Linked DNA regions of Arabidopsis thaliana. The protein of the gene in region 1 purifies or fractionates together with the protein of each later gene. This does not show direct contact. Each region holds a gene or a part of one and is shown in the gene's direction. Other genes may lie near its edges.

Region 1 (7,209 bases):
ATTTATAAGAACAGAGCAAAACAGAGCAGAGCAGAGGAATATGGGAGAAAAAAAATCACTAATGCTTTATTAACAAGATATTTTGATCAGAGACTAAAAATTAAGGAACATACCACACAACACAATACCTATGAAACAGTCACATATCTCAAACTGTAACAACTGCAGATGGTTCTTTTGATATTAATGGGTTCATGTCTTTAGTTCCACAGAGATCATGTCAAATTCAAAAGTGAGAATTTTTCATATGAAACATAATCATCGTCAAATCAAAAGTTCAATCTTTTTGAAACAAGAAAAATGAATATAAACTTTATGCAAAGTCGTGTTTCTATGATGTTACCTTTTTCTTAAGCAGACATGTACTATCGCATAACAAAGCATAACAAAAGAAAAACTCTAGTTTCATCATGATGAATCATCTATGATCAAGAGTAAGACAGTACCTGAAGAGATTATTGACGAAGCAGAGAGACAAGAAAAGCTGTTGTTTGGGCTTCTGTCTCTTCTATCTTTATGTTTGTTGGGGTTTTTTGTCGGTATATTTTTGAAGAGGTTTCAAAAGGATTCTGCATTTTTCTGGGCAGTTTGAAGAACAAATCATGGGACCCATATTCATATGTTTGTGGGTCTCATGTAAGAACGAGATTATTAAATATTTTTGTTCAATTCGATGGAGACTATATTGACATGTTGATCACTACTGATTTTTCCGTTGACAAGTGTCTTCGAAATTTTAACTCTTAAGCACAAGAGTTTAATCTTGTTTTAGTAGATTATTATGAACCATGTCACTTTTCAATGAAAACTCCAGATTTTTTGTTTGGCAAGAAGATTGTTTTTCCAGAATTGTGTGATTCATGTATATATTAGGTAAGAAAATGATCAAAACTTAAGAAAAAGGTGATAATGATGGACCTAATGTACATTTTGACAATAATGCTGGTCTTTCATCACTATAACCCTAGAAGTATAATTTACTACATATCACTTCGCTCGAGGGAAATTATAATGTTTCTCTCTTGAATATTCAAAAGTTAAAATAACATTAACTTATTGAAATTTTTACTAGTTTTCTTAAAGATAAGCTGATTTTTAAAGCATTTTAAAGTATTCTTAAAGTTTAAAATGTTCGCAAATTCAGGAAGATATGGACCACAACAAATAATTTAGTAAACTTTGTATATTAATTAGGGTTGTCACCATGTTTTTTTAGGTAGAACATAGAATACTCAATACTCTCATACCGAAATAATAAAGCTTTATGTGAATCACATCCGCACGTAAAAGTGTCAACAAAATTTAAGTAACTTAATACGTGAATAATGTAACAATTGCAAATTATCACATACCCTATATTAATATCGGTCTTCTAAATAGTAACGTTGACCTTTTCTTGACTTGCTAATAAGTTTATACTATTAAGTTAAAACATCTTTCATTATGGTCAAATATTTGAGCCCTTGTGCTTAGCACTAAGTCTGCATCTAGGGTACAAGTGAAAGTTATGTTCGCATTTTTGAAAATTTATTTCTAACAACAGGTCAGTTGACTTGGGAGTTTTGGAATAATTTGTAATATTGTATATGGATCCAACAAAGTGAGTACTTCATAAAAACTATTCGTGGGTATTCTTCGAAATCTGATAGATCGGACCGGCCCATTAACAGAAGCCCGTCAATATCTATAACCACAACAAAAGTAACCGATGAATTTAGTCAGTCATTTAGATCCTTTCTTCTACATGGTTGTCACTTGTCACTGTAAGAAGTATTCGTCATCCTAGCATCTTCCAAGAAGATTTAGTAACAAATGTCAAAATCATGCATGCAGTAAACTAAAAATAGTACTCTTTGTATTCGAGTGCTAATTACTAATCTTCCAAGAAGATTGGTAACAAATGTCAAAATCATAAGGAATAATTATAATACAAAGTACATTTTAACTTATTAACATATGTCAAAATCAATAGGGTACTTTTGATACGTCCGGTAAATTAGTGTTCTAGTACAGCCCTATCTCTGTTCTTTTCTCATTAAATTGGATTTGAAACTCTCATTATTGTAGGCATGGAAGAGTTTTAGGCCGCCAAGGTCCACATCATTAATAGTTTAGGTCTTTAATACAGTGACATTACATCATTAATATTTAGGTCCCAATTTCTGGAAATTCTATCTGGTTGGAATTTAGGTCATCATTCTTGACAATTTTTTCTCCTCTTTTGACTAAAATCCAAATCATCTTTCCTCTCAAAACTATTAATGTAATACTCTTATTCACATTAGGTCATATGTTAATGTTATTGTAATATACTAATTATACAAAACTAGGTAGTTTCTTTCTTTACTGTAGTAGATCTTAAAACATAAGATAACGACATAAATCATTTAGATTATTAGTAGTTTGATTAATTACTATAATTTATGGTCTTAAGGTTATTCATCTTTGTTTATGCAAACAAAATCATATGATTAGTGTAGTAAATACATATCCTTTTTGTACTATCGGGTTTAGGGATCAAGATAAGGTCCTTGTTTTAACTGTCTTTACATTATATCCAAATAAATTATGGAAATGATTCACTGACACAAATAATCGAATTAAACTTAAAGTCTTAAACTATACATAAAACTACAGATTGGTCTAATAAAGAAATTAAAACCAACCAACAACTCCATAAAGATATTCTACTATATTCATCAATTTGACTAGTGGTTGCTGACACTAGATTTATGATTCCTTTCATATATTTTCTCTTGGTAATTGGTATGTAAATAAAATTCTCCAAATATGAAAGACTGAAAGTGAAATGTAATCAGTAAACCGAGTAATACCGGAATTTTAAATCTGAATGTCCGTTTTACATCGACCAGATCTGTCACGTGTTAAATAAGACCGGGTCAAAAATATAAGACGCTGACTTGTAACGGTTCGATTTCGATTTGTGCACGAAGCGGGATATCTAACGGTTTAAATTAAGCCACGTTTAAAGATTCCTTCTATACTGGACAAAGTCCCCTATAAAAACCTCTGACCCAATCACATTTCTCGGATCCAAAAAGACGAAGAAAAGGAAAAAAGACAAATCAAAGAGAGACGATTCGATCGCATCAATGGCAGAAGAAAAGAGCTTCAAGTATGTGATCGTCGGAGGTGGTGTCGCCGCCGTAAGTCTCTCTCTGTTCTTCTTCTTCATCGGATTTGTTTTTTTTCCTCAATCTCTTCGCTTACGAATCATCACACTGTACTACTGCTCATTTGTATCCTTATCACTCTGAGAAGTAGAGTAGATTGTATCGCTAGATCTAGTGATTTCTATGATTACGGGAAGATAGGAACTAGATTCCCAATTTATTGTTGTTTTGGGATGTTGTGATTCACAGGGATACGCGGCGAGAGAGTTCTTCAACCAAGGTGTCAAGCCTGGTGAACTTGCTATCATTTCCAGGGAACAAGTAAGTTTTCATGACTTGGAACTAAATTTAAGCTAGATTCTTGTCTTGTTATTTATAGTATTGGCAATTTTTTGGTGTTAATTAGGTTCCTCCATATGAGCGTCCTGCACTTAGCAAGGGATATATCCACCTCGAAAGTAAAAACTTCATTCTACATCATTTGGAGATTTAGTTTAGTCTGTGCGTGGTTTCTGAATTAGATTTGTTTGTTCTTATGGTATATAGATAAAGCTACACTTCCGAATTTCTATGTTGCTGCTGGAATTGGGGGAGAGAGACAGTTCCCTCAATGGTACAAAGAGAAAGGTGAGTTTCCTTTTTTTTTGTGCTTTAAGCGTTTTTTTAGCTCAATGTCTCTCATTCATTCTCATATGTCGTTTCTGCAGGTATTGAGCTGATTTTGGGCACAGAGATTGTCAAAGCAGATCTTGCTGCGAAGACACTTGTCAGTGGGACTGGACAAGTCTTCAAGTACCAAACTTTGCTAGCTGCAACTGGTTCTTCTGTGAGCACAATCTATCCTTGCACTTCTTACTTTGGAAGTTTCCATTTTTAGTCTCTTTTTTCTTTTTGCATCTCTTCTAAGGAATTTCTTAAATTGTGTAGGTCATAAGGTTGTCAGATTTTGGCGTCCCAGGTGCAGATGCTAAGAATATATTCTACCTGAGAGAACTCGAAGATGCTGATTACCTTGCTTATGCAATGGAAACAAAGGAAAAAGGAAAGGCTGTGGTTGTTGGTGGCGGTTACATCGGTCTTGAACTCGGTGCTGCTCTGAAGGCTAACAACCTCGACGTTACCATGGTTTATCCAGAACCTTGGTGCAGTAAGTTGATACAAGCCAAACCACTACCATAGAATTCTCATCGTATTCCCTTTGCTTAACACCTTTCCTTTTTGTTGTGTCTTTGAAAAGTGCCTCGGCTTTTCACCGCTGGCATTGCTTCCTTCTACGAGGGTTACTATGCCAACAAAGGAATTAACATTGTCAAAGGCACTGTTGCATCTGGTTTCACTACCAACTCAAATGGAGAGGTTAGCAATTAGCATCACCGTTCAAACTTGACAAACAGCAGTTTTTCTCTCCGCTGCTTCAACAATATCTCTCTGTTGCTTAATGATGCAGGTCACTGAGGTGAAATTGAAAGACGGAAGAACGTTAGAAGCTGATATTGTGATAGTGGGTGTCGGTGGTAGACCAATTATATCACTCTTCAAAGATCAAGTTGAAGAAGAGAAGGGTGGTTTGAAGGTTTGTGACTTGCATACTCCATTTTCTTCTGTATCTGAGATATAGTTCTTATTATTATTGTTTACTCATGAGATCTTTCTTTGATTGCAGACTGATGGGTTCTTCAAAACAAGCCTTCCAGATGTATACGCCATTGGTGATGTAGCCACCTTCCCAATGAAACTCTACAATGAAATGAGACGCGTTGAACACGTTGACCATGCTCGCAAATCCGCTGAACAAGCCGTAAAGGTAATAATTATAATGCTTCTTCAACCTGTCTTAATGAAGGAGCTGTATAAAATCATCCTAATTGAATCGATTGATATAATGATTTTGTAGGCAATCAAGGCGGCTGAGGAAGGGAACTCAATTCCGGAATATGACTATCTTCCATACTTTTACTCTCGAGCCTTTGATCTCTCATGGCAATTCTACGGTGACAACGTTGGAGAAAGCGTATTGTTTGGGGACAATGACCCGGAATCGCCAAAGCCGAAATTCGGGAGCTACTGGATTAAAGAACGGAAAGTGGTTGGAGCATTTTTAGAAGGTGGAAGTCCTGAAGAGAACAATGCAATTGCTAAACTTGCACGAGCACAACCTTCTGTTGAGAGCCTTGAAGTGCTATCTAAGGAAGGCCTTTCCTTCGCCACAAATATATAAATTGCCTTTCTAGGTTGTGTGTTAGTGTGAGCTTTGAGTTCAGAGTGGCTTTTATGTCACTTTGCTATTATGATAGCAGAGTCGACATTTTTGTTATTTGTTTGACCCACTTTCTTGTGATTGTTTGGTTCCAAAATAAAATTGAAAGCTACTCAATTCACTTTTCTGATATTTCTTTCTTCGAAAATGGTACACCAAACTTGTTGGAAACATTTCAGTCACTTTTCTCGGATCCGGCGTTACAAAAACCTTGTCTTCATATGAGTTTTTTATGTCCAAATTTTGTAGACATTTTTACTAACTTGTTGGAGATTGGTCCTTCTCCAACAACACTATTCAAGTTTTAATTCGACTAAAGTTTGGGAGAATTATTGTATATGTTCCTATTTATTTCAACACTAAAAAGGAGAAAAAAAACAACACTAGAAATAGAAATCATAACCAAACACTAAAAAACAAAAAACAAACAAACAAGGGTCTAAAAAAAAGCAGTCTTGTCTTTTTTAACGGTAATCGTTATCCGATCGAAACAACAGAATTGGACTTCTCACAAGATGTCCTCTCGAATCATCCCATTCCACAGAAGCAGACACAATCCCTTTCATTGTCTCATCCCAAACTCCATCAATCACAACCTTAAAATTCCTCTTCTCTTTAGGCCTCTCGAAACTCATAACCTTAGGCACAACCTCAACTCTCAAACCCTTCGGTGCCCAAACCCTAGCCACGTAGGTCGATGGTCCGTATCCGACATTCGTCACTGTTCTATAGAAAACTTCCGACACTTTCGCTTCCGTAGAATTCACTTGCTTGTGCAGTGACGGATAATTTAACCCGTCGGAACCTAACCCTCGCTTGATATTCTCACAATTGTATTCTTTCTTCGTAGTGTTGTTGCTGTTATCGCCGGTTAAAAGTCCGATGCTTGTGCTATTGTACCCTTCTTTACATAGGAATCTTAGGTATGCGTCCTCTGTGATGTCGTAGACTAGACCCGGGTGAATCGCTCTTCTCGGGTTAATTTGACCCGACCCGTAACTTAATTCTGCTTCGTTGCCTTTGATTCTCATAGGAGTAGCTGTAAAGGAAGTGTAAAGATTGAAACTTTCTTTTACTTTTGAGAACGCTTTGAGCTTTTTTGTTTGATGATTTTAGTTACCTGTTGTCATAAGGGCGGATTTGATTGCGGCTGGAGACCAATCAGGATGGAATGATTTGACATAAGCTGCTGCAGCTGCTGCGTGAGGACAAGCCATTGACGTTCCTGACATTATGGAGAACAGTGTTCGTCTATTGTCGTCTGGATAACCGGTTACCGATGCTAGCTTCGAGTATGCTGCGAGAATGTTTAGTCCCGGCGCTGATATGTCAGGCTTGAGAATGTTGGGACTTATTCGTTGAGGTCCTCTTGCTGAGAAGGAAGAAATCGATGGAGCTAACATTTTGGTTGTCTTTGTCTTAAAGATAACCGCTTGAGGATTTCTGTGAAGTTCGATAAGAGTTAGGAACAGCAAGAATAATAGAAGTAAGACATAGAGAGAAGAGATTGATTGATTTACTTGGTGGAGTTGATGTATTCAGTGATCTTTGTACCGTCTTCGAAGAAAACATAAGAGCCAGCAATGAGCGTTGAAGTAGCCATATCAGTTGGTTCTAGAAGTTGAACGATCACACCAGCTCCTTTTAAACTTCTCACAACATGGTCTTGACCTTGACCTCCATTGCCTCCTTCTTCTCGTCCTGCTTCACAGTAAACTACCTTCCCCATCACTTTATCTTCCCCTAATGTCCCAGGCTCACAAGTACTGCACAAAATGATTTAAGACGATCAAGACTGTGAAAAACTGAGAAAGATTA
Region 2 (7,293 bases), on another chromosome or scaffold:
TGCATAACTTTGAAGAAGAAGATGATGTTGTTTTTAAACATGTAAATAGGCCGTTTATGGATTCATGCTGCAAGTAAAGTACCTGATGAAGCTACTATCAAAGCAATGGAAGAGTTTTACCAACAAATTTATGCTGTTGATGGGATCACTGATATTCAATTCCCCCAACATTACCCTGTTTCAAGACTAATTGGTATCGTTGTTTACTAATCTCCATATTTGAAAGTCTAAGTTCCATGTTATAGTATAAGCAAGACCTGATTTTGCTTGGAACATATTTGAATACGGTTTCGTTGGTATAGGATGTGTTGAGGTTGTTGGATGTGTCACCTCCGATGAGCTTCAGAACTGGGATGCTTTACCTCAAGGGGTACAACAATTTTCCTTATTACTGTGTTCTATTCTTTGACATTGAAAACAGCTCGTTATCGATGATTCTTTAGTATAATAAGCAAAAACCTCAACTGTTGTTTTGGTATGTAATAGGTGAGGCTTGAAGGACAAACTAACTTTTGTTGGCTATGTGAGAAGCCACAGGTGAAAGTCACTTCATCTTTTGGCTGTTACTGTTTTGTTTAGATTGACTTATTTGACATTTGATTCTGTGAACTCTTCCAGAAACTGATTATTCCATTTGAGATGCGTGGGTACCAGGGCGTCTATAACTTAGAGAATAAGGTAATCTTGCTGTTCTTCAAAGCCTAGGGATTGGTGGGTTCTTGTTGTAGTATAAATTAGTACCAGTTACTTACTGTATTTCTAAATGAAACAGATTTATGTAGCAGCAGCTAGAGGTCTTATGCCTTCTCAAAACTCTTTTAAGGTGAAATTCCCTCTTCCTGACCCAAAAGACCCGTTTTCCTTAAAACCTGGTTCTATTCCTTGTACAATGCAAGAGAAGAAAGAACTTGATTCAAAGCAAGTTACCAGCCTCACAGCTGCAATCAAGCAAGTTACCAGCCTCACAGCTGCAATCGCCGGTGCAAAAGCAGCGGCGACACAATTTTCTAAGAAGGGACAAAGTCTCCAAACAAATAATATATTTGATTACACAACAAGAAGCAAGAGCAAAGTTATTGAAGATGAAGCAGCAGAATCCCTAGATAACCCGGTTCTTGGTTCTGGTGGAACGTCTGACCGTACTTATAGAACAAGAAGCAAGAACAGAGGCACACAGATGGGTGAAGAAGTATGTAGTGAAAGCAGCAACAGCAGCAGCAAAGTTGAATCTAGTCAAAGAAGTGCAGTCACAAAGAGTGAGGACAGGAATACAAGAATTGGTGAAAGAAGGTTTGATCCTGGATCTGCCCGGGTACGTTTATTATCTTACATTAAGCGATAATTACAACAATAATTGTTGACTTTGTTGTTGTCTGATTTTATTTCACATGTGGAATTATTTCAGATCATGGCCGCTGCAATTAGGAACTTGAAGCCACCTTCTTGATCTAATGCGTCAAGGTTGTACCATATTTTGCATTCTTTCTAAAACATGTTCATTTCAAAGTTTGAGAAGTTCGTTTTAGAGTTAGTTTATAGGTTTATTGTATACACATTCAATTTAACTTATATGAGAGAATAATCATGTGGACTAATAAATACACAGAGCAATGAGTTTTGAGTAGACTGTTTAGTCGAATTTTACTAAATTACTATATTTTGGTCAGATTTAGAAGAATGTTTATATTTTTGGGGGGTTTGTCCCACATCGGTAGTTTCAAAATATCAGTTGTGTATATATTTAGTCGAAAACGAAAACAAGTAACAATAGTCATTGGACAAAGTGAATGGGTCACATGGGCTTGTCTAAGTTCCGACCCAGGAAAGTCCCCGGGCCACTTTTCGCAGAGATGCGGCCTCGGTAACGAGAGAATCATGCGGTGGAGAGATTCTATAAGCTGAGACGCGTGTGTGGAGCTTCTGTTGTCTCTCCGTCGATGACATCATGGCCGTTCGATTCACGACAGTTATTCACTTGGTCCTCATCGGACTAACTGAACGGGGCTTATGTTCCAATGACAACAATTTTTTTCTTTTTGAGTAATCCCGGTTTACTCAACTTACTCAACCGTACCGGTGGAAGATTCCTTACAGTAATACTAAAGCTTTTGGCTTAGCTCATTTTGGTGATGATAACAGTAATATCATAAGTACATAATAAATAATTGAAACTTTTGTAAGTATCCTCATTTTTTCAGAAAGTAAATAATATCAAATGTATTGAGAAAACAATAAATGATCATTTTTTTATTTTAATTAGACTCAAAATTAAATAACTGGAAATTAAAAAACCAAATAAACTGAAAATTATTATCTAAAATACAGTAACTAAAAATTTGTCTTGTCGATAAGTCGGATAAAATTTATTCATATAAATATTTAGTCATATACAAGTAAAATAATACTACAAATAATACACAATCAGTCGATGTTATATACAATAAAATTATAGATTTATAAAGGAAAAAATTATCCGGCGATATATCTGATGTCAATCTCTAGTGGGTTAGCATTTTTATTGAAAAATTGTATTGCTTAGTTTTTTTATTGTTATATTGTTAGTGAATTAAAATGGTACTTTGGTATTTTCATATATAGACTTTTTGAAAATAAAATCTTAGATTTTTTCTAACAAGAGTTACCAAAAATATTTTGGAATTAAATGAGCCGGCGACATAGAAGAATAGAGAGGGTTAAATTGAAAATTCATAAAGTAGGAAAAAATTAGGGTTAGACTCGATCATTCATAGCTGCGACTATTCTCTGCTCTTTCTACATTTTCTCATTTTCTCTTGGGCTACTTTTCGACTACTAACAAATCCAACGATGAGGGGATTGGTGAACAAGCTCGTGTCCAGATCTCTCTCCATCTCCGGGAAATGGCAGAACCAACAGCTTCGTCGTCTCAACATCCACGAGTATCAGGTTCTTCTTCTCTTCATTTCCATTTGATAGTTGCCTAGATTCGCTTTTGTCAAGTCAGAATTCGAGTACGATCTGTGTCTTTGTCTGTTGTTTCTGTGTTGATCCACTGATTGATTTGTGGTTGATAGAATTCTCTGGGTTTAGGATAATGTAAAGTTTGTATTGTGATTCTGATACAACCAGGGAGCTGAATTGATGGGGAAATATGGAGTTAATGTGCCGAAAGGAGTAGCTGCTTCTTCGTTGGAAGAAGTTAAAAAGGCTATTCAAGATGTTTTCCCTAATGAAAGCGAGGTAAATTCAGTGAGGGATTCGATTCTAATCTCTATTATTAGTTGTTGTCTAATTGAAAGAGTGTCATTTTCGTGTGATACAGTTGGTTGTTAAGAGCCAGATTTTGGCTGGTGGAAGAGGTCTTGGAACATTCAAGAGTGGTCTTAAGGGTGGTGTTCACATTGTTAAACGTGATGAGGCTGAAGAGATTGCTGGTATTGTACAGGATTTCTTGTTTGTGGCTTTCTGGAGTCTGTTTTTTGTTGTTGTTGTACAAGTTATTGATCTATTTCAAATCTTTATTACTTGTAGGAAAGATGCTAGGACAAGTACTTGTCACCAAGCAAACTGGTCCTCAAGGCAAAGTAGTTAGCAAGGTTTGTTATCTGTTATTCATGATTGGTGTTTTTTCTTCTATTATTGTCACTGCTCTTGCACCTTTGTTTATTCATTGTGTCTTCATTTTGAGCAGGTTTACTTGTGTGAGAAATTGTCACTCGTCAATGAGATGTACTTTTCCATTATTCTGGACCGTAAATCTGCTGGACCGGTATGCTACTACGCAAATGATGAGCTGCTGCTATTCATTTCCCTACTTCTAGGCATGCTGTTTTCATACCCTGCTGTAATATCTAAAACGCTTTCCTTTCCTATATCAGTTGATCATTGCCTGTAAAAAGGGTGGTACCAGTATTGAAGATCTTGCTGAGAAGTTCCCTGACATGATCATCAAGGTTGTTACTGTTTGATTCGTATTTGGTGGTCTGATCTCCAGTAAATATCATTCTGAGATTCTTTCTCATGCGGGTTTTTGACACCTCAAGTCATGGTTTTGCGTAGGTACCAATTGATGTATTTGCAGGAATCACTGATGAAGATGCTGCTAAGGTTGTGGATGGTCTGGCTCCCAAAGCTGCTGACAGAAAAGATTCGATTGAACAAGTGAAGAAGCTATACGAACTCTTCCGCAAGACTGACTGCACAATGTTGGAAGTGAGTTCTCTCTCACTGTCTTTTTTCTACACACTTCTTCAGTTATAAATATCTTTTGTTGAACCTCCAAATTTCTCTTGTAGATCAATCCCCTTGCGGAGACATCAACTAATCAATTGGTAGCTGCTGATGCCAAATTGAACTTCGATGATAATGCTGCGTTCCGACAAAAAGAGGTTTTCGCCATGCGTGATCCAACACAGGAGGATCCACGAGAGGTCTCTGTCTATCTCTTGTATCATCAAGAAAGCCATTGTTATGTTAATTCGATAGGATGTTAAAAGGAATAGTGTGTTGTGTCTCATAGGTGGCTGCTGCTAAAGTTGACCTGAACTACATCGGTTTAGATGGAGAGATTGGTTGCATGGTGAATGGTGCTGGATTGGCCATGGCAACCATGGACATCATTAAATTACACGGTGGAACACCCGCCAATTTCCTTGACGTTGGTGGAAATGCTTCTGAGCACCAGGTAAAAGGAACCTTCTTTCTTTCTTCACTTTTGGGAATCATTGGAATGAAAACCAATTTTAATAGAGGTTTGTGTCAAAAAATAAGGTGGTGGAAGCGTTTAAGATACTGACATCGGACGATAAAGTGAAAGCAATCTTGGTGAACATATTTGGTGGGATAATGAAATGTGATGTGATTGCTAGTGGAATCGTGAACGCTGCAAAAGAGGTGAGTGAGAAACAACCTTGTTACCATAATATTTCATATATTCATGATTGAAAATAAATCCGAGTGTTTGTGTGGAATGGCGAGGACAGGTCGCATTGAAAGTGCCAGTGGTGGTTCGTCTAGAAGGAACGAATGTTGAGCAGGGAAAGAGAATCCTCAAGGAAAGTGGAATGAAACTCATAACAGCTGATGATTTGGATGATGCAGCTGAGAAAGCGGTTAAAGCTTTAGCTCACTAATCTCTCTATATATACCAAAAGCCGGTTTGTTAATTGTTTTGTGGTTGACGCCCAATTTACACTTTCTTGCGGATATCATTTCCTCAAACAGATCAATAATGAACTGGTCTCCTTTTTTTGTGTGATCCATCCAAAGAGATTCAAATCAGAATTCTCAATATCTTTTTGTATTTAACCAACTCATATGGTTGATACTAGGGTTTCAAGTTTATCTCATACGTACTGTTCCTATCATGAATAAAAATCGTTTTTGTGGGAAGCCACACTATAGCTGTCACTGAAACAACAAAATTAATCCCTCTCTCTACAAAAGGCTTTCACAAAACAGAGCTGTCCTCTGTTTCCAATTTAACGGTCAAAACGATAAACTTATTTTTTGATAGAATGTTAATTATATTACCAAAAGGAAAGAAGATTATTTACAAAAACTTTTGACCAGGATTGCAGCTCCATTGTTGTAGTGATGCAGCTCTATTGCTGAGGGCTATGATGAAGAGGAAAATCACACTAACACTACTCAGCTCTTGTCCAAGAAGTTTTTATTCATATATAGGGTTTCTAGTAAAGTGAAAGATGCTGTTGATTTGTTCTGTAAGAATGCTCTTTTATATTTATGATCGACGTCAATGATGATCTATGTTCAAGTGATTTGGATGATAGCACCGAAAAATATTTGTCTAAATTCTCCTTGCATAGTTAATAATAGTACAAGAATGAACAAGAAAATCTAACAATTGGTGTGTTGTGTTCAATGAAAATTAGCCATTTGGAGCTAGCAGCAAAGTCTCTATATATGTCGTCTCTCCTTTCAAAAATCATCTCTATTGTCGAATTGAGGCATAGATCTCACAGAACCAGTCTCAGACATATATTCCGACATGTTATCGACATCAGATCTTCTTGTCGATCTTGATGACCCTCCATTAACCGCGGTTTCTTTCGTCGACTTCTTCTTCCTCCTAGATTTCTTTGGAATTTCCGGTAATCCACTAGGCCAAGAAGACAACTCGTCTTGTTCTTCAGTGGCTTCCTTTGGTCTCCTCGACGATGACGATGTCCCTTTGTTAGAAGAGCGACGTTTAGTTTTGTCTGATGATTTGTCTTTTGTCGGAGAACCTTTCTCGGACGCTGCTTTCCTCGTAGATTTTGGTAGGTTTGGCAAATCTCTAGACCGACCACCATATTCCGACATACATTTTATGGAGGAATCATCTTCTCCGACTCCTTCAGCAGATTCGAATCCCCCGCCGGAGTTGAACTCAGTCATCTTTCAAATCACATAACATTAACCAAATCAATTCGACATTTTCTGAAAACGTTTTAGGTCAAATTTTTAATATATATGACCTCGTAGATTTGAGTCAAGTATTAATCTAGAGCTCACATCCATCCAAATATGCGTAGGATAATAAAACAATCTTTCATTTGCCTATTTTATCACGATTATTGTTTACGCCTTTTAAGAATTACCAAAGAAGTAGAAAAGAGTAAAAACATACCCAGCTTGGTGCGGTGGCATTAGCGGATGGTCCATCCCAACCGATATGGGCAACATGTTTTACGTCCGTTGGATTTCCGATTTGTATTTCTTCTTCTTTTTCACTTTCTATCATCATTAAAAGAAAGAAACAAGAAAGTATAATCAATCATTTAGATTCATCCTCAATCCATATAAACGTACTTGCAATGCATGCATGCAAATTTTCTACGTGATTTGCATCATAGTAATTCAAAACTGATCATGAAGTTCGAGTTTTTATATAAGGAAAAAAGGATTTATCATATGTATAAACTCTTATGCGAACAAAAATCAGAAGAAATTAAACAAGAGATCTATAGGGTGAACTTACCAAATACTTGAGAAATGTATCGGAGCCCTTTCAAGAGGCTTTTCATCTTGGAGCTTGACATTGTGAGTTGCATAGATCTCTTTTTAGGTTTATGATTTCTTTTTTAAATAAGAAAAATGGGAGTACAGAAGAACAAAATGATAGGTTTTGAAAACTCACTTTTCCCAGAAAATAAGAAAGTGGTGGCAGTAAATATTGAGGAAACAAAATGATAGATAAAAAAAATTGTGTATATAGTCAAGACTCCAAAATATTGTTCAGAGAGAAACAAGAATTCATCTCAGAAAATTGTAGGTTTATCTTTCTGCAGATTCTTCTATATATCAAAAAGA

The links. Proteins that work in one complex are often made in the same cells at the same time.
Region 2: the proteins of ATMDAR2 (region 1) and AT2G20420 fractionate together in Arabidopsis thaliana (co-fractionation; one large-scale study listed by BioGRID). This does not show direct contact.

What each region holds. Positions count from the first base shown.
Region 1 is NC_003076.8:920,521-927,729, reverse strand, and holds ATMDAR2 (Pyridine nucleotide-disulfide oxidoreductase family protein), read left to right. Parts: upstream 1-3,001; 5' UTR 3,002-3,113; coding exon 3,114-3,167; intron 3,168-3,383; coding exon 3,384-3,455; intron 3,456-3,540; coding exon 3,541-3,592; intron 3,593-3,680; coding exon 3,681-3,761; intron 3,762-3,841; coding exon 3,842-3,960; intron 3,961-4,061; coding exon 4,062-4,281; intron 4,282-4,371; coding exon 4,372-4,490; intron 4,491-4,581; coding exon 4,582-4,707; intron 4,708-4,797; coding exon 4,798-4,938; intron 4,939-5,028; coding exon 5,029-5,352; 3' UTR 5,353-5,682; downstream 5,683-7,209. Other genes in the region: AT5G03620 (Subtilisin-like serine endopeptidase family protein), read right to left, coding at 5,856-6,430, 6,512-6,834, 6,912-7,157. UniProt on the Arabidopsis thaliana protein: Catalyzes the conversion of monodehydroascorbate to ascorbate, oxidizing NADH in the process.
Region 2 is NC_003071.7:8,802,748-8,810,040, forward strand, and holds AT2G20420 (ATP citrate lyase (ACL) family protein), read left to right. Parts: upstream 1-2,594; 5' UTR 2,595-2,826; coding exon 2,827-2,925; intron 2,926-3,108; coding exon 3,109-3,219; intron 3,220-3,301; coding exon 3,302-3,413; intron 3,414-3,510; coding exon 3,511-3,575; intron 3,576-3,670; coding exon 3,671-3,748; intron 3,749-3,857; coding exon 3,858-3,932; intron 3,933-4,038; coding exon 4,039-4,191; intron 4,192-4,274; coding exon 4,275-4,409; intron 4,410-4,498; coding exon 4,499-4,663; intron 4,664-4,749; coding exon 4,750-4,872; intron 4,873-4,961; coding exon 4,962-5,111; 3' UTR 5,112-5,424; downstream 5,425-7,293. Other genes in the region: AT2G20410 (RNA-binding ASCH domain protein), read left to right, coding at 50-193, 303-370, 487-537, 619-678, 773-1,312, 1,406-1,447; RIC6 (ROP-interactive CRIB motif-containing protein 6), read right to left, coding at 5,920-6,378, 6,611-6,717, 6,962-7,034. UniProt on the Arabidopsis thaliana protein: Succinyl-CoA synthetase functions in the citric acid cycle (TCA), coupling the hydrolysis of succinyl-CoA to the synthesis of ATP and thus represents the only step of substrate-level phosphorylation in the TCA.